Saccharomyces cerevisiae S288C: one gene and its partners. The gene in region 4 interacts genetically with the main gene of each other region. Each region holds a gene or a part of one and is shown on either strand. Other genes may lie near its edges.

Region 1 (6,094 bases), on a different chromosome or scaffold from region 4:
ACTTATACATAAGCAAGATACGTTCCAAGCTGTCTCAGTGCGCCCTTACTCGACACCACCACAGAGAACTTGATCTACGAAAAATGGTGGGCCACGCCAATATGCTGGACAGGATCCTCGACGAAATAGACGAAATCGACAGCGAGGTAGTACTGTGTGACGCTGCCGATGGTTCTTCTACTGCAGAAGCTCATTCCGCTTCCCCAGCATCCAGCGACTCTTCTCCTCTCACTAATAACATCCGGCCCATTAGCATTATGTGATTAGCATGCATTTTCCCCTTTTCCTTTCTTAAGAACATTTTTACGACGCGGATCTGCCCGTCATCGCATACGAATGTTGAATCACGCCAGAATCACCAAAGAAAAAAACTCGTTCAGTTCCTAGGTTTTATGAGCCAGGAACAATAGACTTTTATCGCATATTATTTCTATACGTGCACTTATATATGCACACATATGTTTATATACATATACATACATACGTGTTTCTTTTCAGCCTGTGTTTTTGTCGGGTCCAAAAACATACAAGGCAACATAATATTTTGACATAACTCAACGCAACATAACAGTATAAAACATAGTTTAATAAAAGAGAAAAAAAAAACAATATTTTTAAGCTATCGCTCTTGCCGCAATGAACGCCAACTCTACCACGACAGCAATCGGCCTCACCAGCCCCTTCGAAAAGCTGTCCTTCTTCCCTCATTCGTCTAATTTAATACTGGCTCATTTGCATGAGATCATCTTCAGCTTCGTCTTCTACCAGCTCGCATTCTCCGTTGTCGCACCGTTCTTGAATAAAGTGGTCTTTCGCAAGCACTACACCACGATCCGTGACCCACTGCTGAAAATTGATTTCAATGTCCACACCGTCTCGATGATCCAGGCTGTCGTCTCGAACACCGTCCTGTTGCCCACCCTCACGACGCCAATGCATTATAATGTTGTCACCTACACAGATTCGTACAGTTCAATGGTATCTTCCCTCAGCGCAGGGTACTTTATCTGGGACTTGACTATGTGCGTGCGTTACTTCAAGCTTTATGGTCTCGAGTTCACGGGCCACGCCATTGGCTCCGTATATGTGATGCTGTTGTCCTTAAGACCGTTCTGCCAACCCTGGATCGGCAGGTTCCTTATCTACGAGGCCTCCACTCCCTTTGTGAACATCAATTGGTTCATCATGCAATGTAACGCCAAGAGCAAGAACTCTATCCCTCTGTGGTTTAATGTCGTCAATGGCCTTTTGCTCATGACTGTGTTTTTCGTCGTCAGGATTTGCTGGGGCTCCATCGCATCCGCTCTCTTATTCAGGCAGATGTGGAAGGTAAGAGACGAGTTACCCAAGTTTTCTGCTGTCACGATGATGTCGCTGAACATTTTCATGAACCTTTTGAACGTGCTTTGGTTCAAGAAGATGATTAGAATCGCCAAGAAACTTGCAAAACCAGCCCCAACGTCGAAGCTAGACTAAACCTACCTTTTTTTCTATCTTCAACAACGAAACGCCTTACACACACACACACATACATCTACATACATACATACAAATATACATATATGTAAACTTGTATATTCATTCCTATTAACCAAAAAGAGGCAATTAAACTTTTCCCTCTTTTTCTACGTCATTTACTCAAAAACTCTAATTCCTTCGTCTCTGTTCTGCCATTTTCTCCAGAAAAAAATCGACGGGAAATAAAAAAAAAAAGACAACGAACAAGAGAAAAAGTTCGCGAATTATAAACCACTTCTATAATTAACAGGAAAAGGAAGGAAAAAAAAGGAGGAAATAGAAAACTGCAGGCCTTTATTCATGTTTGATCTTAAGACGATTCTCGACCATCCTAATATCCCGTGGAAATTAATCATTTCTGGGTTCTCGATTGCCCAATTTTCTTTCGAATCTTACTTGACGTACAGACAGTACCAGAAGCTATCTGAAACAAAGTTGCCACCTGTGCTGGAAGACGAAATTGATGATGAAACTTTTCATAAATCAAGGAACTACTCCCGGGCCAAGGCCAAGTTCTCCATTTTCGGTGACGTCTATAACCTAGCCCAAAAGCTAGTTTTCATCAAATACGACCTCTTCCCTAAAATCTGGCACATGGCCGTTTCTTTATTGAATGCAGTCCTGCCAGTCAGATTTCATATGGTCTCCACTGTCGCACAGAGTTTATGCTTCTTGGGTCTCTTATCCAGTTTGTCTACCTTGGTTGATTTGCCACTCTCTTACTATAGCCATTTTGTCCTGGAAGAAAAATTTGGTTTCAATAAATTGACCGTCCAACTATGGATCACCGATATGATCAAGAGTCTGACTTTGGCGTATGCTATTGGTGGCCCAATCCTTTACCTGTTCCTTAAGATCTTTGATAAATTCCCTACTGATTTCCTTTGGTACATTATGGTCTTCTTGTTCGTTGTCCAAATCTTAGCCATGACAATCATTCCAGTCTTCATCATGCCCATGTTTAATAAGTTCACTCCATTGGAGGACGGTGAACTGAAAAAATCTATTGAAAGTTTGGCCGATAGAGTTGGGTTCCCTCTAGATAAGATTTTTGTCATTGACGGCTCAAAAAGATCTTCTCATTCAAACGCATATTTCACAGGTTTGCCATTCACCTCCAAGAGAATTGTTTTGTTCGACACTTTAGTGAACAGTAATTCTACTGATGAAATTACGGCTGTTTTGGCCCATGAAATCGGTCACTGGCAAAAAAACCACATCGTTAATATGGTCATCTTTAGTCAATTGCACACCTTCCTCATTTTCTCCCTTTTCACCAGCATCTACAGAAATACATCATTTTACAACACCTTCGGCTTTTTCTTAGAGAAGTCCACTGGCAGTTTTGTTGATCCCGTTATCACTAAGGAATTCCCCATTATCATTGGATTTATGTTATTTAACGACTTATTAACTCCACTCGAATGTGCCATGCAATTCGTGATGAGTTTAATTTCCAGAACTCATGAATATCAAGCTGATGCTTATGCTAAAAAATTGGGCTACAAGCAAAATCTATGTAGGGCTCTAATTGATCTACAAATCAAAAACCTTTCCACCATGAATGTAGATCCTCTGTATTCTAGCTATCATTATTCCCATCCAACTCTAGCTGAAAGATTGACCGCTCTAGACTATGTTAGTGAAAAGAAGAAAAACTAATCTATAGAGTACACATATTAGCATGTACCGTTAAATTCAGCTTCGTTATGTCTATATCTACATACATACACAGGTATCTACTATAAGAATAAAGGAAAGAAAAAATAAACGATTAAACATTTTATTTTTTTGCATCGCTATCATCATTACCTTTCTCATTGTTATCATCATTATCTTTCCCATCTTCATCGTCATTTTCTTCATCATTGATTATTTCAATGATTTCTGTGGTTTCAGTCTTCACGGTAAATGGTTGGGGTTCTTCAATATCCTCATCATTAACCATGAATTGGTTCAATCTTTTGAACTCTTCATTTTTCTCCTCCCTAATGGCATTATACAAAAGAAAATTTATCCAAACTTCTGCAAAACAGTAAATAAAAACAGAGTTATTGTGAACGTAAAAGTTTGACTCCCAAAGGTACGAGATACTTGTCAAAATAAAAAAAATTAGTAATCTAACTGGCACAACAGATTGGAAGTATTTAACATTGTTTTCTAACAGGGGAATTAGATCATGAACACCGTTAAGAGTAAACAGAAGAGCGAAAAGACCCAATTGACCACTATAACGTGACAGTGTTAACTGCGGTAAATTCATCGCTTGCGTTAAGACTATGAAATATGTATTTTGCAAAATAGAATTAACGTTCTTTAAACAAAAGAAGGCGATCGTGAATAAAAATGCTACTCTGAAAAAAGCAATATTGGTGGAGTTCAAGGCTTGAGCCATTTTCTTAGAATTTATTCTTTACTTTTGCTGAATGCGATACTCTATTATGTTGTAAATTGTTACACTACCATTCAATTGTCTCTCTTTAAAGATTGATCGACATTATTTTCTTTACTTTTTTGGTGTTTTCGCGCTAAAAGTGGCGTGCTAAATGCCAAGTATTATTCTAAAAAATCATTACGCCATACACAAATATTGAAGACTATCTATCTAACTTAACACCAACTTGCTTTATTAAAGAGTCAATATCCTTCAAAGACTTAGTGAAATACAATTCATCGTCAATATAAGGTTCTTCACCGTCGCTATTGTTCAAGTTTTGTATTGATTTTAAGTAATCCTGCGTACACAGGATACTCACTTTACTGTCCGTCGTGGATAGTTCATTCCACTGCCTAATACTTAAATGGTTTTTCTTGTGTCTTTTATACGTTCTAATTGAATCATAGTTATTCTTTCGCAATACAAAGGCTATTGAACATATAGTCTTACATTGGGAACAAAATATATCGTATTCCTCATCTTCATCGTTTGGATCAGTATGCACCTCCAAAAGAGTTGTCCGTGGTACAATGGCCTGAATTTTCCGTATGCGTTTTAATTCAGTATTATAAAAGACGATCAATGAAGAGTAACATTGCCTAACAAAAGCATCATTGAACAATAGAGTATCTTTATTGTACTTGTCCAAAACATTGATCATTAAATCAAACATATCAAAAACACATGCTTTCTGAGTTAATTTATAATCCGTAATCGCACCAAATCCATATGGTAGCCAGAAATCTATAGTAAAATTGACAGCTTCATTAAAATTATAACCTGTATTAAAACCAGCATGGTAACATTTAGGAAACGTGATAATATATTCGTTGGGCTTTTGCACAGCTTTGTACACAGGAATACCTGATTTCTTGAAATTTGGATCGTACGGAGATATTAAAGTCACTAGCTGATGCAGTAGGTCTGGTTGTTTGATAAATAAGTCTGGTGACATATCATTTAATAGATCGTTGAATTTCGTACATCCCGATTCGGGAATGCTGTACCAGACCTTAGGGTCACCTTCATGTTGATAGTTAGCACTTAGGGTATACTGATCTTCCATATGCCAACAAAATGTGGAAAATAAGGAGCCTATGTAAATCCAAGGAATAGTCATGCCAGAAATATTTCTTTTAAATAACGGTAATAGCGAATTATGAGCCATAGGCAAGTTAGTTAAATTCATAGGATGATCGCAATATTTGAGGTAGTCTATCAATTCGTCCCCATTTATATTTTTGGGTATAAATTCTCTCGTCGGAAAGCCGGTAATTTGACCTGGCAATTCGTTATGTATGTCAGCACCGTATTTAACTGTCGTTAATGAACTGCGACGATTCTTGGTCACTAAGCTCCAAAACATCTCTTCCAACTCATCTATAGACAGTTTTCGTGCTGGTAATAACCTTGAATTTTGACGTTTACAATATTCTTGAAACTCTGGTAGAGAATAGTCATGCGTGTCCTGAGTGAATCCGTAATATCCGTTTCCGACGATACAAGTGTTACAAATCCAATCGCCAGAGGGAACACGTTCCAAAGGTGGTGATAAACAATATATATGGAATGGTTTGTCACATGAATCACATAAAATTGTTCTTTTTGGATCATTTGTCTTGCGACAAACAATACAAGCATCATCATCGTCCTCCTCAAAATCCGACCCAGAATTCGAATCTGGCCCAAGATCGAAATCGTCCTCGTCATCACTTAATAAGGATTTTGGATACTGGTCAGCATGCAGCGCCGTGTGCACGTTCTCGTTCAGTGAATGAAGAAATATGTAGTATGAGGCAATATATTTCTCAAAAATTTCCTTTAACAAGCCGATTGGTACGTTGAATTTTTTAGAAATGGTCCTCCATAGACTGATGTCGCCTCTTAATTGGGAAATATCTCTAAATTTCAATTTTCGCCTGAATGACTGTGTAGTGTCAGTAAGTGTCCGATTGTCTTTTATTAGTTCAGAGAAAACGTCATAAAAGTACACTTTTTTTTTTAGTATTTCCGATGCATGAGTAGAATCTGAATATTCTACAATCGTATAAGGTTCCCTAAGTATAAGTTTCGATGGATCCTTAACGGATCTTTTAAAATTATTTAACTGTTTCATAAAAAATAGCCTACACCTATTTT
Region 2 (6,550 bases), on a different chromosome or scaffold from region 4:
ACTTGGTAGAGTCACCGATTAATGCGAATACGGGGAACATTTTGAAGAGAATACATTCGGTAAGTTTATCGCAATCACAAATTGATCCTAGTAAGAAGGTTAAAAGGGCAAAATTGGACCAAACCTCAAAAGGCCCCGAGAATTTGCAATTTTCGTAACCAAGGACAAATACCCATAGAAAATGCTGCCCCTTTTTAAGAGAGAAGATGGTAGATACCAATACTCAGAATTCATCTATTCATAACTTTTTGGGTTTTTATTACATATAGAGTGACGTTTTGATACGATTTACATTTTGAAATATATAGATTTTTGTATATTAATAAGTTTTGATTTTCAGTTTTAGTTATGCTTAATGAATTTTTGAATCAGAAAAAGAAGTTCTGAAAAAAACATAATCCTGCTTGATGTGGTACAACAAGCTCATAAATAATTTTAAAAAGTTTGTTAATCCGTTTTCAATATCTTGAGCTCCTCAATTGTATTTGCTGAGGTCTGATTATTTCTATAACCAAAAGCGGTTATTGAATCTATGGAGAGGCTGTAACCCGTCTTATGCCTTCCGGGTACTATATTTCATTTGCGGGTGTCGATGGATTAAGGGGCGGAGGCGGCCCTTTTTAGGATTTATATAAAAAGCCATACTTCCGTACTTCGTAACCTCTTATCAACTGGTTAAGGGAACAGAGTAAAGAAGTTTGGGTAATTCGCTGCTATTTATTCATTCCACCTTCTTCTTTTTTGAGCGAAGCCTTTATAATCAAATTTTAGTGGTCTTTTCTATTTTTATTTGAGAAGCCTACCACGTAAGGGAAGAATAACAAAAAGTATATCTCACCCTACTGTATTCATAAAAAGTTTTTTCTATTAGAATTCTATAAGAAAAGAAAAAAAAAAAGCCTAGTGACCTAGTATTTAATCCAAATAAAATTCAAACAAAAACCAAAACTAACATGTTCAGCTTGAAAGCATTATTGCCATTGGCCTTGTTGTTGGTCAGCGCCAACCAAGTTGCTGCAAAAGTCCACAAGGCTAAAATTTATAAACACGAGTTGTCCGATGAGATGAAAGAAGTCACTTTCGAGCAACATTTAGCTCATTTAGGCCAAAAGTACTTGACTCAATTTGAGAAAGCTAACCCCGAAGTTGTTTTTTCTAGGGAGCATCCTTTCTTCACTGAAGGTGGTCACGATGTTCCATTGACAAATTACTTGAACGCACAATATTACACTGACATTACTTTGGGTACTCCACCTCAAAACTTCAAGGTTATTTTGGATACTGGTTCTTCAAACCTTTGGGTTCCAAGTAACGAATGTGGTTCCTTGGCTTGTTTCCTACATTCTAAATACGATCATGAAGCTTCATCAAGCTACAAAGCTAATGGTACTGAATTTGCCATTCAATATGGTACTGGTTCTTTGGAAGGTTACATTTCTCAAGACACTTTGTCCATCGGGGATTTGACCATTCCAAAACAAGACTTCGCTGAGGCTACCAGCGAGCCGGGCTTAACATTTGCATTTGGCAAGTTCGATGGTATTTTGGGTTTGGGTTACGATACCATTTCTGTTGATAAGGTGGTCCCTCCATTTTACAACGCCATTCAACAAGATTTGTTGGACGAAAAGAGATTTGCCTTTTATTTGGGAGACACTTCAAAGGATACTGAAAATGGCGGTGAAGCCACCTTTGGTGGTATTGACGAGTCTAAGTTCAAGGGCGATATCACTTGGTTACCTGTTCGTCGTAAGGCTTACTGGGAAGTCAAGTTTGAAGGTATCGGTTTAGGCGACGAGTACGCCGAATTGGAGAGCCATGGTGCCGCCATCGATACTGGTACTTCTTTGATTACCTTGCCATCAGGATTAGCTGAAATGATTAATGCTGAAATTGGGGCCAAGAAGGGTTGGACCGGTCAATATACTCTAGACTGTAACACCAGAGACAATCTACCTGATCTAATTTTCAACTTCAATGGCTACAACTTCACTATTGGGCCATACGATTACACGCTTGAAGTTTCAGGCTCCTGTATCTCTGCAATTACACCAATGGATTTCCCAGAACCTGTTGGCCCACTGGCCATCGTTGGTGATGCCTTCTTGCGTAAATACTATTCTATTTACGATTTGGGCAACAATGCGGTTGGTTTGGCCAAAGCAATTTGAGCTAAACTTTTCTTACTTCTCCGCCCTATCCTTTTCTGCCATCTAGAGAGCTTTTATAAGTAGATAACAATAAAAAAAACTATAGTATATTTAAAAAAAAAAAACAAGACAAACCATCTTGTCCTCAGTTTTAGAATCCATTGTTCTATGCTGCTGCCCATAATGTCATTATATGCGGGTAGCCCGATGATGCGGCTCGAGAATTTCCTTGTTTATCCTTTTCCAATAGCGGAACAATTGATAATAAAGCAATGTAAGCAGAAGCGAAAAATAAAAAGAAATAGGCTGCAGAGATTCACAGGCTGCGCTCTAGAAACATTTGAAATCAAGGCAAACATAGAACACTTGATAAAATTCTTACCATAATACCACCATTGATGATTCAAAAAATGAGCCCAAGCTTAAGGAGGCCATCAACGAGGTCTAGTTCTGGTTCAAGTAATATCCCACAATCGCCCTCTGTACGATCAACTTCATCGTTTTCTAATCTGACAAGAAACTCCATACGGAGCACCTCTAATTCGGGTTCTCAGTCGATTTCTGCATCTTCCACTAGAAGTAACTCCCCACTAAGATCCGTATCAGCCAAATCCGATCCCTTCCTTCACCCAGGTAGGATAAGGATCAGGCGGAGCGACAGTATTAACAACAACTCGAGAAAAAACGATACATATACTGGGTCAATCACTGTGACCATCCGGCCGAAACCACGGAGCGTTGGAACTTCCCGTGACCATGTGGGGCTAAAATCGCCCAGGTACTCTCAACCAAGATCCAACTCACATCACGGTAGCAATACATTTGTTAGAGACCCCTGGTTTATTACTAATGACAAAACAATAGTGCATGAAGAAATTGGAGAGTTCAAGTTCGATCATGTTTTTGCTTCCCATTGCACTAATTTGGAAGTTTATGAAAGAACCAGTAAACCAATGATTGATAAGTTATTGATGGGGTTTAATGCCACCATATTTGCGTACGGTATGACCGGGTCAGGTAAAACGTTTACAATGAGCGGAAATGAACAAGAGCTAGGCCTAATTCCTTTATCTGTGTCGTATTTATTTACCAATATCATGGAACAATCAATGAATGGCGATAAAAAGTTCGACGTTATAATATCGTACCTCGAAATTTACAATGAAAGGATTTACGACCTGTTAGAAAGCGGATTAGAAGAATCCGGTAGTAGAATCAGTACTCCTTCAAGGTTATATATGAGCAAGAGCAACAGCAATGGATTGGGCGTAGAATTAAAAATCAGAGATGACTCTCAGTATGGGGTCAAAGTTATCGGTCTCACCGAAAGAAGATGTGAAAGTAGTGAAGAATTATTGAGGTGGATTGCAGTTGGTGACAAAAGTAGGAAAATTGGCGAAACTGACTACAATGCAAGAAGCTCACGATCTCATGCCATTGTACTGATTCGTTTAACAAGTACTAACGTAAAGAACGGCACCTCAAGATCGAGTACATTGTCGTTGTGTGACCTAGCAGGTTCGGAAAGGGCTACGGGGCAACAAGAGAGGAGAAAGGAAGGTTCATTCATCAACAAATCCTTACTTGCTTTGGGGACTGTGATATCCAAACTCAGTGCCGACAAGATGAACTCAGTAGGCTCAAACATTCCCTCGCCATCTGCAAGTGGCAGTAGCAGCAGTAGTGGAAATGCTACCAATAACGGCACTAGCCCAAGCAACCACATTCCATATCGTGATTCTAAATTGACTAGATTATTGCAGCCGGCACTAAGCGGTGACAGCATAGTGACAACGATATGTACAGTCGACACCAGAAATGATGCGGCAGCGGAAACTATGAATACGCTGAGGTTTGCATCAAGAGCGAAAAACGTCGCACTTCATGTATCCAAAAAATCCATCATCAGTAACGGGAATAACGATGGAGATAAAGATCGCACCATTGAGCTACTGAGACGCCAATTGGAAGAACAACGTAGGATGATCTCTGAATTGAAGAACCGTTCAAACATTGGCGAGCCCTTAACCAAATCTTCCAATGAAAGTACTTATAAAGACATTAAAGCCACCGGCAATGATGGTGATCCGAATTTGGCTCTAATGAGAGCGGAGAATCGAGTATTAAAATATAAACTAGAGAATTGTGAAAAACTACTAGATAAAGATGTGGTTGATTTGCAAGATTCTGAGATTATGGAAATTGTAGAAATGCTTCCCTTTGAGGTCGGCACCCTTTTGGAAACAAAGTTCCAAGGTTTGGAATCACAAATAAGGCAATATAGGAAATACACTCAAAAACTTGAAGACAAGATCATGGCGCTAGAAAAAAGTGGTCATACTGCAATGTCGCTAACTGGGTGTGACGGCACTGAAGTGATCGAATTACAGAAGATGCTCGAGAGGAAGGATAAAATGATTGAGGCCCTGCAGAGTGCCAAACGACTGCGGGATAGGGCTTTGAAACCACTCATTAATACACAGCAATCACCGCACCCTGTCGTGGATAACGATAAATGATTAGGTGAGGGTCCCAGATCTCGGGTGCTTTTTTCCTTGTGCGGATTGTTCTGTAGACTGCGCCTCCGCTTGCCCGGCGCTTGCCTTGAACGGGATCTATTCTCAGAAGACAGCGCATAAAAGGCAGTTTTTAGGCACTTCTCGTTAAGAAAATACACAAATAATGGATTTACGAAGTTCGTTTCAGTGTGGTACCAAAAAATTTGGCATCAGCTAATAAAGATCAAGAAGTTTTGGGGTTGTTTCGAGTCTGTCTCGGCCTTAATTGTGCAGGTACTAAAGGGATTAATATATAAAGATTGTTAAGGCCAAGTGACTGAAACTTGCAAACGTCTTTGAATCAGGCTTATCTCTTAAATACTTATATATATGTTCTTTTATAGACTTCATAATCTCTTGTTCCAAGAACAGTAAAGAGCAATTAAAAAAAGGAAAATAACAGTTAAAGATGATAGCGGATTCATCAGTTTTGAAAAAGCACACAGCAATCAAGAGAAGTACGAGAATAATATCGCTAACACTCGTTTTGCTTGGCGTATTTAGCTTCTTACTACTTACATGGAATGACTCCTTGGAATTCTACAACTCTGCTGACCCTAGCGAAAACAAAAAAAATAGTGAGGAAGAAAGTGAAAAGAAGTTCGTTTACAAGTTGCCAAACTTATTAAAGACAGCAGACAGTTTTCTAAGTAATGAAAATGAACTAAATTTCCAAAAAGTCAAAGAAGAAATTTCAAATATTCAAAGCGAGGTTGAAGTCGACATCCCAGAACCCTCATCCAAAGCTACATCAAAATTTTCTTCAAGATCGTTCCAAACTGATAATGTCGTGACGGCGACGACCACAACAACACTAAATCCACGGTCATCTTCTCTGGCCTTGCAGAAAAACTGCGATCACAAAAAATTCGACCCTAGAACAGATTTTCTAGATATAATAAGAACCTCTCCAGCGGTATTATTCATTAAATCATCACAAGCAGACTCCATTTTCTTAAAAAATCTATTACAAAGAGAATTTGAGATTTCACCCGAATTGGCCACTGTTGATTTGGAAAAACACTCTCATGGCTATGAATTAGAAAAGTATATCAAACAAAATAAACTAAATATCGATACTAGTGCTGCCTTGGAATCCATTCAGTCGCCTTATTTATTTTTGAATGGTATTTCCGTGATAAATCGTGGAATGGTGAGAGATATAATCGAACCTCATTCGAAGGGATTGCTACTACCTCTTCTAAAGTCTGAAGCGCGTGGCAACTTGCTGGTAGAAAAAAAAGACATCCCTTCTAATTCTTAATTTGTTATCACTCCTATCGACGAGCAGCCGCAGCTAAAAGAACGTTTTAATTATTCCCAAATTCACGTAAGCGATCCTCTTTATGTGCTATATATACATTCATAACATAGTCATTGCATTTTCTATCATACGATTCAACTTGAACAAGTGTTTAACCATTTACGTCGTAAATGTCTACAGTATTATCTTTGGTCGTTGTTGTGGATTCATGCTTTTTTCTTTTCGAGAGCTCTTCGTTTTCAGAACTCAGCTCTTCCTTTTCGGACGACTCCCTTCGACTATTCTCCGTACTTGCTGGTTCGTAGTTAAAAAAGCATTCCCCCCACATGCAAAATATTCCTTTCATATATCCATTCTCCTTTACATATAATACTTTACATTTGGCAAATGGACCTAGTACTTTCCTCGTAGCTCGAGAAAGCTGGTTCAAATCAGAGTTCCTTGGCAAAAACATAATCACATTAGGGCTTAGTTTAAGAAAACTTTTCAACATCTTGGTAATCCCCATAGGCTTTAGATGTTGCTCTAAGTCATACACATCGTTTCTTAAGTATTCTGGACCACCCCACGGGGGTGAT
Region 3 (5,556 bases), on a different chromosome or scaffold from region 4:
AAAAGAGCATTCTACGTACCTGAAAAATGCTGCAAATGGTAATGGTGTCGATCGTCATTTCTTCGGTCTAAAGAATATGCTAAAATCTAATGATGACCAAATTCCGCCCCTTTTCAAAGATCCCTTATTTAATTATTCTTCAACTTGGTTGATCTCCACATCTCAACTATCTTCGGAATATTTTGACGGTTATGGTTGGTCTCAAGTAAATGACAACGGGTTTGGACTGGCATACATGTTGAATAACGAGTGGCTGCATATCAATATTGTCAACAAACCAGCCAAGAGTGGAGCCAGTGTTAACAGATTACACTATTATTTATCTCAAGCTGCTGATGAAATTTTTGACGCCTTGGAAAATGAGAATAAACGAAAAGCAAAGTTATGAATTTTTCACCTTTCCTCTTCAATTAATTTGTGAATATTTTTGTTAAGTATCTACACTTACATACGTATAAATAGGGGAGAAAAAAGGGCTTACGAATACATACTGATCATTACTATCTATTTCTGCACCTAGTTTCATTATGCAATTTAAAACAACTTACAGAACAAATCTTATTTCCACAATTAACGCAACTTGAAATACTATCGTAGCCACCGCAAATAGAGCATGTCGTAATTAGGGGTAACACTTTGAAGTATCGTTTATTGTAAACATTGTGGTAAATGACATTCTTATCCATCAAGTTTAGCAGCGCAGAATCTAAAAACGAATGTAAATTTCTTTTTGAACTTAAAACCTTCTTTAACGCCACAATACGATTGGTATTCTTCCTCTTTGGTTTAGGTAGTTTTGTAGATTTATACGATAATTGTATTTCCCGTAAGGTTTCTGGTTTAAGCACCCAACCATGACCATACTTGGAATGCTCTTTTACAAAAGAAGAACCACCCATTAATGCAGAGAGACCATCCGAGGTCTGTGAGATCGGTTTGGTTGTTGATTCAATTCTATCTCGTGGTACGCCTGTGAGATCACTTAATAAAGTCGGTACATTTGGTAAATCCGAGAAATTTTCTGTGTTAAGTTCCATAAACCTCCTGTCCGACTGGAGAATCTCTTGTTGTGTGTACCTTTCTTCAAATGAATGGGAATTCTTACTATTTCGGTCATCCTGTCTGCTTATACTATTGCCATCTCCCTCAGATCTCGAAGTATATAACCTGGCCTCTAAATCTGCCAGTGAGTAGTTTATGCGCTTTACGGGCCTAGAGGTGGATATTGTGCCTTGCTTATTAATCTTCTTTGAAGTATATCGACGTGCTTGAGGATCCAATGACGTGAAATATATGTCAGGATTGTAAGTTTTCTTATCAATCTCTTCAACTAGCGCCTTCATTTCGCTGTTATGAGTAAGCGATCCGTTCTTTTTCTTCGATCTATCAATGATATCGACGTTACTATAGATTGAAAGGGCCGCTTCGACTTTTGTTAATACTCACAAAGATCATCATGTTCATTATAAAAAAAGTAGTTATTAATTATCTATTACCCGGATCAAAGTTATTTCTACAGAACACAAATATTTTATTGATTGCTTCGTTACATAAAGCAACGACTAAATAAATATAAGCTCTCTAGCTATTCCACCGACTTCACTTCCTTAATGAATGGTCGTTTTTGTAATACTCCAAAAAAAATATCAAAAAAAGGGGCGAGCTGGGAATTGAACCCAGGGCCTCTCGCATGCTTTGTCTTCCTGTTTAATCAGGAAGTCGCCCAAAGCGAGAATCATACCACTAGACCACACGCCCTTGTGAACTTGTGAATCTTAGCCACTAAGGAATCACCGAATAGTAAAAGTTTTCTGACAACTACAATATTAAGCCCTTAACAACAATAATGAATATTGAGTGCATAATGTTGAAATGGAACTCTAAAATATCATTTGTTTAGTAGTATTCGTGTTACTAGTTGTTGGAATAGAAATCAACTATCATCTACTAACTAGTATTTACATTACTAGTATATTATCATATACGGTGTTAGAAGATGACGCAAATGATGAGAAATAGTCATCTAAATTAGTGGAAGCTGAAACGCAAGGATTGATAATGTAATAGGATCAATGAATATAAACATATAAAACGGAATGAGGAATAATCGTAATATTAGTATGTAGAAATATAGATTCCATTTTGAGGATTCCTATATCCTCGAGGAGAACTTCTAGTATATTCTGTATACCTAATATTATAGCCTTTATCAACAATGGAATCCCAACAATTATCTCAACATTCACATATTTCTCATGGTAGCGCCTGTGCTTCGGTTACTTCTAAGGAAGTCCACACAAATCAAGATCCGTTAGACGTTTCAGCTTCCAAAACAGAAGAATGTGAGAAGGCTTCCACTAAGGCTAACTCTCAACAGACAACAACACCTGCTTCATCAGCTGTTCCAGAGAACCCCCATCATGCCTCTCCTCAACCTGCTTCAGTACCACCTCCACAGAATGGGCCGTACCCACAGCAGTGCATGATGACCCAAAACCAAGCCAATCCATCTGGTTGGTCATTTTACGGACACCCATCTATGATTCCGTATACACCTTATCAAATGTCGCCTATGTACTTTCCACCTGGGCCACAATCACAGTTTCCGCAGTATCCATCATCAGTTGGAACGCCTCTGAGCACTCCATCACCTGAGTCAGGTAATACATTTACTGATTCATCCTCAGCGGACTCTGATATGACATCCACTAAAAAATATGTCAGACCACCACCAATGTTAACCTCACCTAATGACTTTCCAAATTGGGTTAAAACATACATCAAATTTTTACAAAACTCGAATCTCGGTGGTATTATTCCGACAGTAAACGGAAAACCCGTACGTCAGATCACTGATGATGAACTCACCTTCTTGTATAACACTTTTCAAATATTTGCTCCCTCTCAATTCCTACCTACCTGGGTCAAAGACATCCTATCCGTTGATTATACGGATATCATGAAAATTCTTTCCAAAAGTATTGAAAAAATGCAATCTGATACCCAAGAGGCAAACGACATTGTGACCCTGGCAAATTTGCAATATAATGGCAGTACACCTGCAGATGCATTTGAAACAAAAGTCACAAACATTATCGACAGACTGAACAATAATGGCATTCATATCAATAACAAGGTCGCATGCCAATTAATTATGAGAGGTCTATCTGGCGAATATAAATTTTTACGCTACACACGTCATCGACATCTAAATATGACAGTCGCTGAACTGTTCTTAGATATCCATGCTATTTATGAAGAACAACAGGGATCGAGAAACAGCAAACCTAATTACAGGAGAAATCTGAGTGATGAGAAGAATGATTCTCGCAGCTATACGAATACAACCAAACCCAAAGTTATAGCTCGGAATCCTCAAAAAACAAATAATTCGAAATCGAAAACAGCCAGGGCTCACAATGTATCCACATCTAATAACTCTCCCAGCACGGACAACGATTCCATCAGTAAATCAACTACTGAACCGATTCAATTGAACAATAAGCACGACCTTCACCTTAGGCCAGGAACTTACTGAATCTACGGTAAATCACACTAATCATTCTGATGATGAACTCCCTGGACACCTCCTTCTCGATTCAGGAGCATCACGAACCCTTATAAGATCTGCTCATCACATACACTCAGCATCATCTAATCCTGACATAAACGTAGTTGATGCTCAAAAAAGAAATATACCAATTAACGCTATTGGTGACCTACAATTTCACTTCCAGGACAACACCAAAACATCAATAAAGGTATTGCACACTCCTAACATAGCCTATGACTTACTCAGTTTGAATGAATTGGCTGCAGTAGATATCACAGCATGCTTTACCAAAAACGTCTTAGAACGATCTGACGGCACTGTACTTGCACCTATCGTAAAATATGGAGACTTTTACTGGGTATCTAAAAAGTACTTGCTTCCATCAAATATCTCCGTACCCACCATCAATAATGTCCATACAAGTGAAAGTACACGCAAATATCCTTATCCTTTCATTCATCGAATGCTTGCACATGCCAATGCACAGACAATTCGATACTCACTTAAAAATAACACCATCACGTATTTTAACGAATCAGATGTCGACAGGTCTAGTGCTATTGACTATCAATGTCCTGATTGTTTAATCGGCAAAAGCACCAAACACAGACATATCAAAGGTTCACGACTAAAATACCAAAATTCATACGAACCCTTTCAATACCTACATACTGACATATTTGGTCCAGTTCACAACCTACCAAAAAGTGCACCATCCTATTTCATCTCATTTACTGATGAGACAACAAAATTCCGTTGGGTTTATCCATTACACGACCGTCGCGAGGACTCTATCCTCGATGTTTTTACTACGATACTAGCTTTTATTAAGAACCAGTTTCAGGCCAGTGTCTTGGTTATACAAATGGACCGTGGTTCTGAGTATACTAACAGAACTCTCCATAAATTCCTTGAAAAAAATGGTATAACTCCATGCTATACAACCACAGCGGATTCCCGAGCACATGGAGTCGCTGAACGGCTCAACCGTACCTTATTAGATGACTGCCGTACTCAACTGCAATGTAGTGGTTTACCGAACCATTTATGGTTCTCTGCAATCGAATTTTCTACTATTGTGAGAAATTCACTAGCTTCACCTAAAAGCAAAAAATCTGCAAGACAACATGCTGGCTTGGCAGGACTTGATATCAGTACTTTGTTACCTTTCGGTCAACCTGTTATCGTCAATGATCACAACCCTAACTCCAAAATACATCCTCGTGGCATCCCAGGCTACGCTCTACATCCGTCTCGAAACTCTTATGGATATATCATCTATCTTCCATCCTTAAAGAAGACAGTAGATACAACTAACTATGTTATTCTTCAGGGCAAGGAATCCAGATTAGATCAATTCAATTACGACGCACTCACTTTCGATGAAGACTTAAACCGTTTAACTGCTTCATATCAATCGTTCATTGCGTCAAATGAGATCCAACAATCCGATGATCTTAACATAGAATCTGACCATGACTTCCAATCTGACATCGAACTACATCCTGAGCAACCGAGAAATGTCCTTTCAAAAGCTGTGAGTCCAACCGATTCCACACCTCCGTCAACTCATACTGAAGATTCGAAACGTGTTTCTAAAACCAATATTCGCGCACCCAGAGAAGTTGACCCCAACATATCTGAATCTAATATTCTTCCATCAAAGAAGAGATCTAGCACCCCCCAAATTTCCAATATCGAGAGTACCGGTTCGGGTGGTATGCATAAATTAAATGTTCCTTTACTTGCTCCCATGTCCCAATCTAACACACATGAGTCGTCGCACGCCAGTAAATCTAAAGATTTCAGACACTCAGACTCGTACAGTGAAAATGAGACTAATCATACAAACGTACCAATATCCAGTACGGGTGGTACCAACAACAAAACTGTTCCGCAGATAAGTGACCAAGAGACTGAGAAAAGGATTATACACCGTTCACCTTCAATCGATGCTTCTCCACCGGAAAATAATTCATCGCACAATATTGTTCCTATCAAAA
Region 4 (5,113 bases):
AAATTCATTGACAGCCATTGTAGTCCTTGTTCTTTACCCACGTTTTGTTTTTGTTCTTGCGTTTTTACTGCCACTGAAAATATAGCGTTGTAATGGCTTTAGATTTTACTTTTTTTTATCATAATTCTTGTTCAGAACGTTCGTTATTGATATCACAAAATTATTTACATGATTAGACATTAAAAACATAAAACAGTACACATAGGGTTTACTATTCTAAACTATAGTTATCTTCTCTCTTATTCTTCAGAACCAGCCTATACTTTGGTTTTTTTTCATTTTTTCTACTCTCTTGGCATACTTCGAACCCTTCTTGGAAGCAATCAACTCATCTACCTTCTTTAAAGCTTCTTCACGTTTTTTTAGCTTTTCGTTTAATTTCAATTCATGCTTATGACCCTTGGGCAAGAGAACACCTTTCATGAGGGTCTTTTTATTGTATTTCTCCTCGAAGAAAAGTTTCTTAGTGTTTTCGATCGGTGGTAAAAACTCTTCTACTCCATAACGCAGTGCCAACTTATATACGTCACTCATTCTTCTAAGTGAATATTTCGGATCATGAAATCGTTGTGTGACCGGATGTTTATTTGGCAGGAAAGGATTGGCATTAATGGCTTTAGTAGATGTAGACACTGGAGAATACTTGATTGAAGGGGGGTATCTTTGGAAAAAGGACTTCAATTTCAAAGGCAAACTATCAAAATACTGTTTGTATGACATGGAGTTTAGTTTAATGCACTAGTTGGTTTTCCTATTCTGTATAAATGGTTCACTTTATTTCGTATTTCACTTGCTCTTCCACTTTCACTTGTATCCCAGTCATTTTTTTTTTTTGTTTGAGAAAAAAGGAATATAAAAAGGCGCTACTATAAAGTACTTAATGATACTATAATTTAGAAGATTGACTTGATAAGACCGTTGTGTACCACCAGTCGATGGCTAGGGAGGATTCTAGACTCGAAACCATTTCCCACAATTGTTGAAGTAGCTTTTTGTTATGTGTATTGATTAGCTGGAGACAGATGTTCAACCAGCCGATCAAATGATGAGGATTGTTGATAAAGGCTATTTGTACAATCAGACATTCAATCAATACATTCTTCTTTTCTGGGTTTTTTACATTAACAATTCTGATATACGTCTCGTGCAAAGAGTCCCTAAGCAAATGCTTGTTATAATTATGTAGTGAGGGAAGTTGTGTGGATAGATGGCCGAATATAAGTAAAATTTGATTTGCGGACAATTTACCTGCAATAAATTGGTCCATCGACATCTTTAAATAGACGAGTATGCGGGATACTTGCCATTGTGCAACCTGTGAGGAATAAGAGGAGTCTATAGACAGTACAGTGATTGTCAATGTGTGTATAGATTCTTTGATTTCAATATCCAAGGTATTGCCCGTCTTCCCGCTAAAAAATACATCGAAATGCAGTAAAGGTTCGATAAACTCAGTAATAAACGGCAAACGAATGCGACACCCATAGTAATTAGTAATTTTGTTTAGAAAATTGATGTAAAACACTAATTTATTTGGATCTTGTTTGGTGTTGTTTCTTTTCATTAGTTCCAAAACTGTAGTGATTTTAGACAAGTCATCCATGACAATGAAATACGTTACTAAATTATCGTAAACATAATCGTAACTGGGAAAACCGACTGTCCCGATTTTTTGAGTCAATACGTGGACGTGGAAAAGGCTTAAACAGATCATAGAATAAAAAGTGTCTTTATGGTTAGGCAGTATTGTCATATTCATGGCGGATAATTCTTTTAACGCGAGGATTATCAGGATAAATACATTTTGGAACTTGAAATCTAGTTGTTGTTCTTTCAACGAAGCCACAGTATCGGACAAGTATCGACATATCCTTTCTAGTTTGCGTACTGAATTTACCAAAGTTGCCTCATTTGACCTCGTGATTGAACTGGTCAAGCAACTGGCCAAATGATTCAAGTTGGTTGATAAGACTGAATCAGTCGAAAAAATTTCCATCGGCTGCACAATGCCGTGTACATACTCTTCCAAAAGGTCCAATAGTTTCTCTGTGACCAAATTCCATGATACGTCAACTCCATGCAAAAGGGCGCTTCGGTTTGACTGATTAAAAAGTAAAGCTAATGCTATCAGAAGGCAATGCTGAATCGATAAATTAGCCCTGACAATGGCAGTATTCCATAGCTGCGCCCATATTGGTGAAAACAGTTGTAATTTCCAGTTTCTGTAATAAAGCGCAGTTTTGTTGCTGGATTCATCAATAAAATAGGCGTTGTTCAATTGTTTGAAGCTCGGGTATGTGACTAGTACACCATCCAAAACCATCAACTGTGAAAGGTTCCACGTGGCTCGGTGAGATTCGAAAACAGCATTCCAAACCAAGTAAAACTTCGAAATTGGGAGCGTGGGCTCAGAAACTTCCAGTTTCCAAAGGAAAACATCTTTGACGATGTGCAAAAGGCGTAGTGGTGGTAATTGGACAATGAACTGCGATCGGAAAAGTGCTCCGACCAAGCGATACAAAGTGTCGGGGGATTTGACTCTTGGGACGTAGTATACCACATTGGCCGCGATTTCGTCTAGCAGGCGTTGATCATACTGGATCCTCGTTTCGGAAGAGAGTGCAGTGATCAGATATTCGACGTCATGATCAAACATAATGTCCTAATGCCCTCTGTAAGTGCGGTTTTGCGCGCATACATGCGTATTCATATTTCCCTTTTGCATTTGTCTTCTTCGGTTTTCCTGGTAGAATTTCCCTTAATGGGAGAGTAGTAACAATGCAAAAAATGAAGAAAATTGAGAAAAAACAAAAAAGAAAAAAAAAAAAAAAAAAAAAAAGAGAGCTATGTAGGTTGATTGTGTTGTTCTATGTAGTGCCCTTTATTTTTCTTTGGATTTAAATTTACAGACACATTATATCTTGAGGTTTTTAGTCCCTTCTTGAGCCTGCTTCAAGTCTTGCCTTCTCTGAACGTCCCAGTTATACAATCGCGCGCAATTGACCTCCATTGTCGTGATATTTTCCCTCAAAAACTCTACGTCCTCGGTGGACACCGTTAAAGACTGTTCGGAATCCGCGAGTTTCTTCTTTAACAACTCTATGGCCTCGTCGATGGGATATTCCAGCATCACGTCTGCGCCAAGCCACAACCCAACTTTCAAATCCGCCCGATCTTCCGGTATATCAACCTGAGCCTTTGTGTAGAGCGTGTCGTTCAATTGGTAGTGCAACAGGATAGGTTCATCGCTCTCATCGCCCTCGTCGCTGTGATTGCGCAGACTTTGGCATATTTTTAATGTGTTTTCCAAGTCCGGGATTCTAGTCTTCAGCTGCTTTATCGTAGCCAATTTAGATTCCTGCATAAATTTGTACTTAGAAAGCCGTTCTTGGAACTTATTGAAGCACAATTCGAAGTCGCTTGGGTCCTTAATTATTTCGTTGACATTTTCGATGAATGGAGCCTGCGGTATGCCTCTGGCATTCTTTTCCGTGGAGTTGAACAGTGTGTCCATAATAACCGTAGTATCTGTTATATATGTGCGTACAGTTTTCTGCAGTAAATGTTGTCTACAATTTATAGCCTCTACAATAGTGTTAAACTAGATTTTTTCACTTTCTTTTCTGACCAGTTCTGCAAAATGATCGAAGAAACGAAACAAATCATGTGTTACCCGTCCTGCACAATCATGAGTGCCTGCGGTTTCCATATTGGAACGGCACCTTCCTTTTTTGGAAGTCACGTTCCTGCAGCGCGTTTCTTTTTTTTTTTTTTTTTTTTTTTTATTTTTCGGTTTTTTTCGCACGTTTCTTTTTGGTGAGCGAGAAAGCTCGTTGCCTCCTAATATAAAGGATGAGATGAGATGAGCAGTGCCGCAAATGAGGGATGTGTTTATTTGTTCATTGTCGTTTTGCGATTATCTTCGTTTTCATGTGTTAACTCATTCATTCATTCATTTACTCGTTCACGCACACGCAGCAGTTATTCCCTCGACGAGCGTTCACTTGTATCATATAGCATAGTTTACGTAGCAATGAATAAAAGCAGCAAGGCATTTCAGGTACCGAATAAGGTCATCACCAAGGAGGATATTACTCCCTTGTCCAGATCGCACACAAAGAAAGCGGACACTCGCGGGACAGCAGATGGTAAAAACACCACAGCCAGTGCAGTCGAGGCCACCCCAATCATCATCACCACTGCTCGTTCGATAGATACTGCCGGTTCACTATCTGAGAACGCCACCGAGGACGATGGCACCCAAAACGGAGATTTACACGATGATGACGATGATGACGACCTCGAAAGTACGCTCGGCTATAGTTCTGAGCCTGATCCTCTCTTCTCCCCATGCCACCAGCCTTCCTTCACCAACAGCACATTTAGTTACAGTGCGGACAATGAACTACCCATGGAGGAAAATCACAACAAGAATAATTTCCACGATAGCAGCGAGAGCAGTATCTTTCTACCACAGATACAGCAATCATTCTTTTTCGGCGACAATAGCAAGAGTGACGCAAATAATACGGACTTCTGGAAGGAAGTAAATGGCACTGCAGAAGAGGCCATTTGCCTGCAGGAGACAAGACAAAGAAAATGCTCCCTCGTGGCTCTGCATCCAGGCGACGCCACCACGAGTTCGAACGACACATTGGGAATAGAGGACTTCATCAAAGATGATATCAACAGTGCTGAAGCCATGGAACCCTCCCCATCTTCATCACCATCTTCCTCCCTTCTTGATAATTTGGACTACAATATCAAGTTATTGTGCTACAGAGACAATGAGGGCAAGTTCACCTTGAAAAAAAGGAAGTTTTTGAAGAATTCCCTGCGCTCATCCTCTGCAATTTCTAAAAAGTGGAAACCCTTGTCTAAAAGAGATAAGCTGTTGAAGAGGGCCATAAGAAGAAAGAGTGGTGTTTGCCAGACGTTATCAGCTGGTTTTGGTATCGGTGAATTCATGTTGTAATAACAGTACTATTAACAGTACAATAAATAGATTCTTTTTATACAGTGTTAGGGTAACTTGTTTTTGTAGGATTTGAAAAATATGTCATTATAAGATCTATATCTTTTACTATTTGGACAAGTTGGCTAATTTGATAGG

The links.
Region 1: mutations in PAC10 (region 4) and STE24 together harm fitness more than expected from each alone (negative genetic interaction), as found in Saccharomyces cerevisiae (5 studies listed by BioGRID, with this or other methods).
Region 2: mutations in PAC10 (region 4) and KIP2 together harm fitness more than expected from each alone (negative genetic interaction), as found in Saccharomyces cerevisiae (5 studies listed by BioGRID, with this or other methods).
Region 3: mutations in PAC10 (region 4) and VPS71 together harm fitness more than expected from each alone (negative genetic interaction), as found in Saccharomyces cerevisiae (5 studies listed by BioGRID, with this or other methods).

What each region holds. Positions count from the first base shown.
Region 1 is NC_001142.9:640,189-646,282, forward strand, and holds STE24 (zinc metalloprotease), read left to right. Parts: upstream 1-1,818; coding exon 1,819-3,180; downstream 3,181-6,094. Other genes in the region: YJR115W (uncharacterized protein), read left to right, coding at 1-263; TDA4 (Tda4p), read left to right, coding at 637-1,476; ILM1 (Ilm1p), read right to left, coding at 3,302-3,913; JHD2 (histone demethylase), read right to left, coding at 4,116-6,094. UniProt on the Saccharomyces cerevisiae protein: Proteolytically removes the C-terminal three residues of farnesylated A-factor mating pheromone. Also acts to cleave the N-terminal extension of the pheromone. Does not act on Ras.
Region 2 is NC_001148.4:255,335-261,884, reverse strand, and holds KIP2 (Kip2p), read left to right. Parts: upstream 1-2,548; coding exon 2,549-4,669; downstream 4,670-6,550. Other genes in the region: serine/threonine/tyrosine protein kinase RAD53, read left to right, coding at 1-158; PEP4 (proteinase A), read left to right, coding at 954-2,171; pheromone-regulated protein PRM4, read left to right, coding at 5,118-5,972; TGS1 (RNA methyltransferase), read right to left, coding at 6,124-6,550. UniProt on the Saccharomyces cerevisiae protein: Required for assembly of the mitotic spindle.
Region 3 is NC_001145.3:194,413-199,968, forward strand, and holds VPS71 (Vps71p), read right to left. Parts: upstream 1,344-5,556; coding exon 501-1,343; downstream 1-500. Other genes in the region: carnitine O-acetyltransferase CAT2, read left to right, coding at 1-388; YML040W (gag protein), read left to right, coding at 2,216-3,538. UniProt on the Saccharomyces cerevisiae protein: Participates in the catalytic exchange of histone H2A for the H2A variant HZT1, an euchromatin-specific factor, leading to chromatin remodeling and changes in transcription of targeted genes. Indirectly involved in vacuolar protein sorting.
Region 4 is NC_001139.9:636,858-641,970, forward strand, and holds PAC10 (tubulin-binding prefolding complex subunit PAC10), read right to left. Parts: upstream 3,515-5,113; coding exon 2,915-3,514; downstream 1-2,914. Other genes in the region: U4/U6-U5 snRNP complex subunit PRP38, read right to left, coding at 1-18; mitochondrial 54S ribosomal protein mL59 MRPL25, read right to left, coding at 247-720; PEX8 (Pex8p), read right to left, coding at 887-2,656; YGR079W (uncharacterized protein), read left to right, coding at 3,863-4,975. UniProt on the Saccharomyces cerevisiae protein: Binds specifically to cytosolic chaperonin (c-CPN) and transfers target proteins to it. Binds to nascent polypeptide chain and promotes folding in an environment in which there are many competing pathways for nonnative proteins.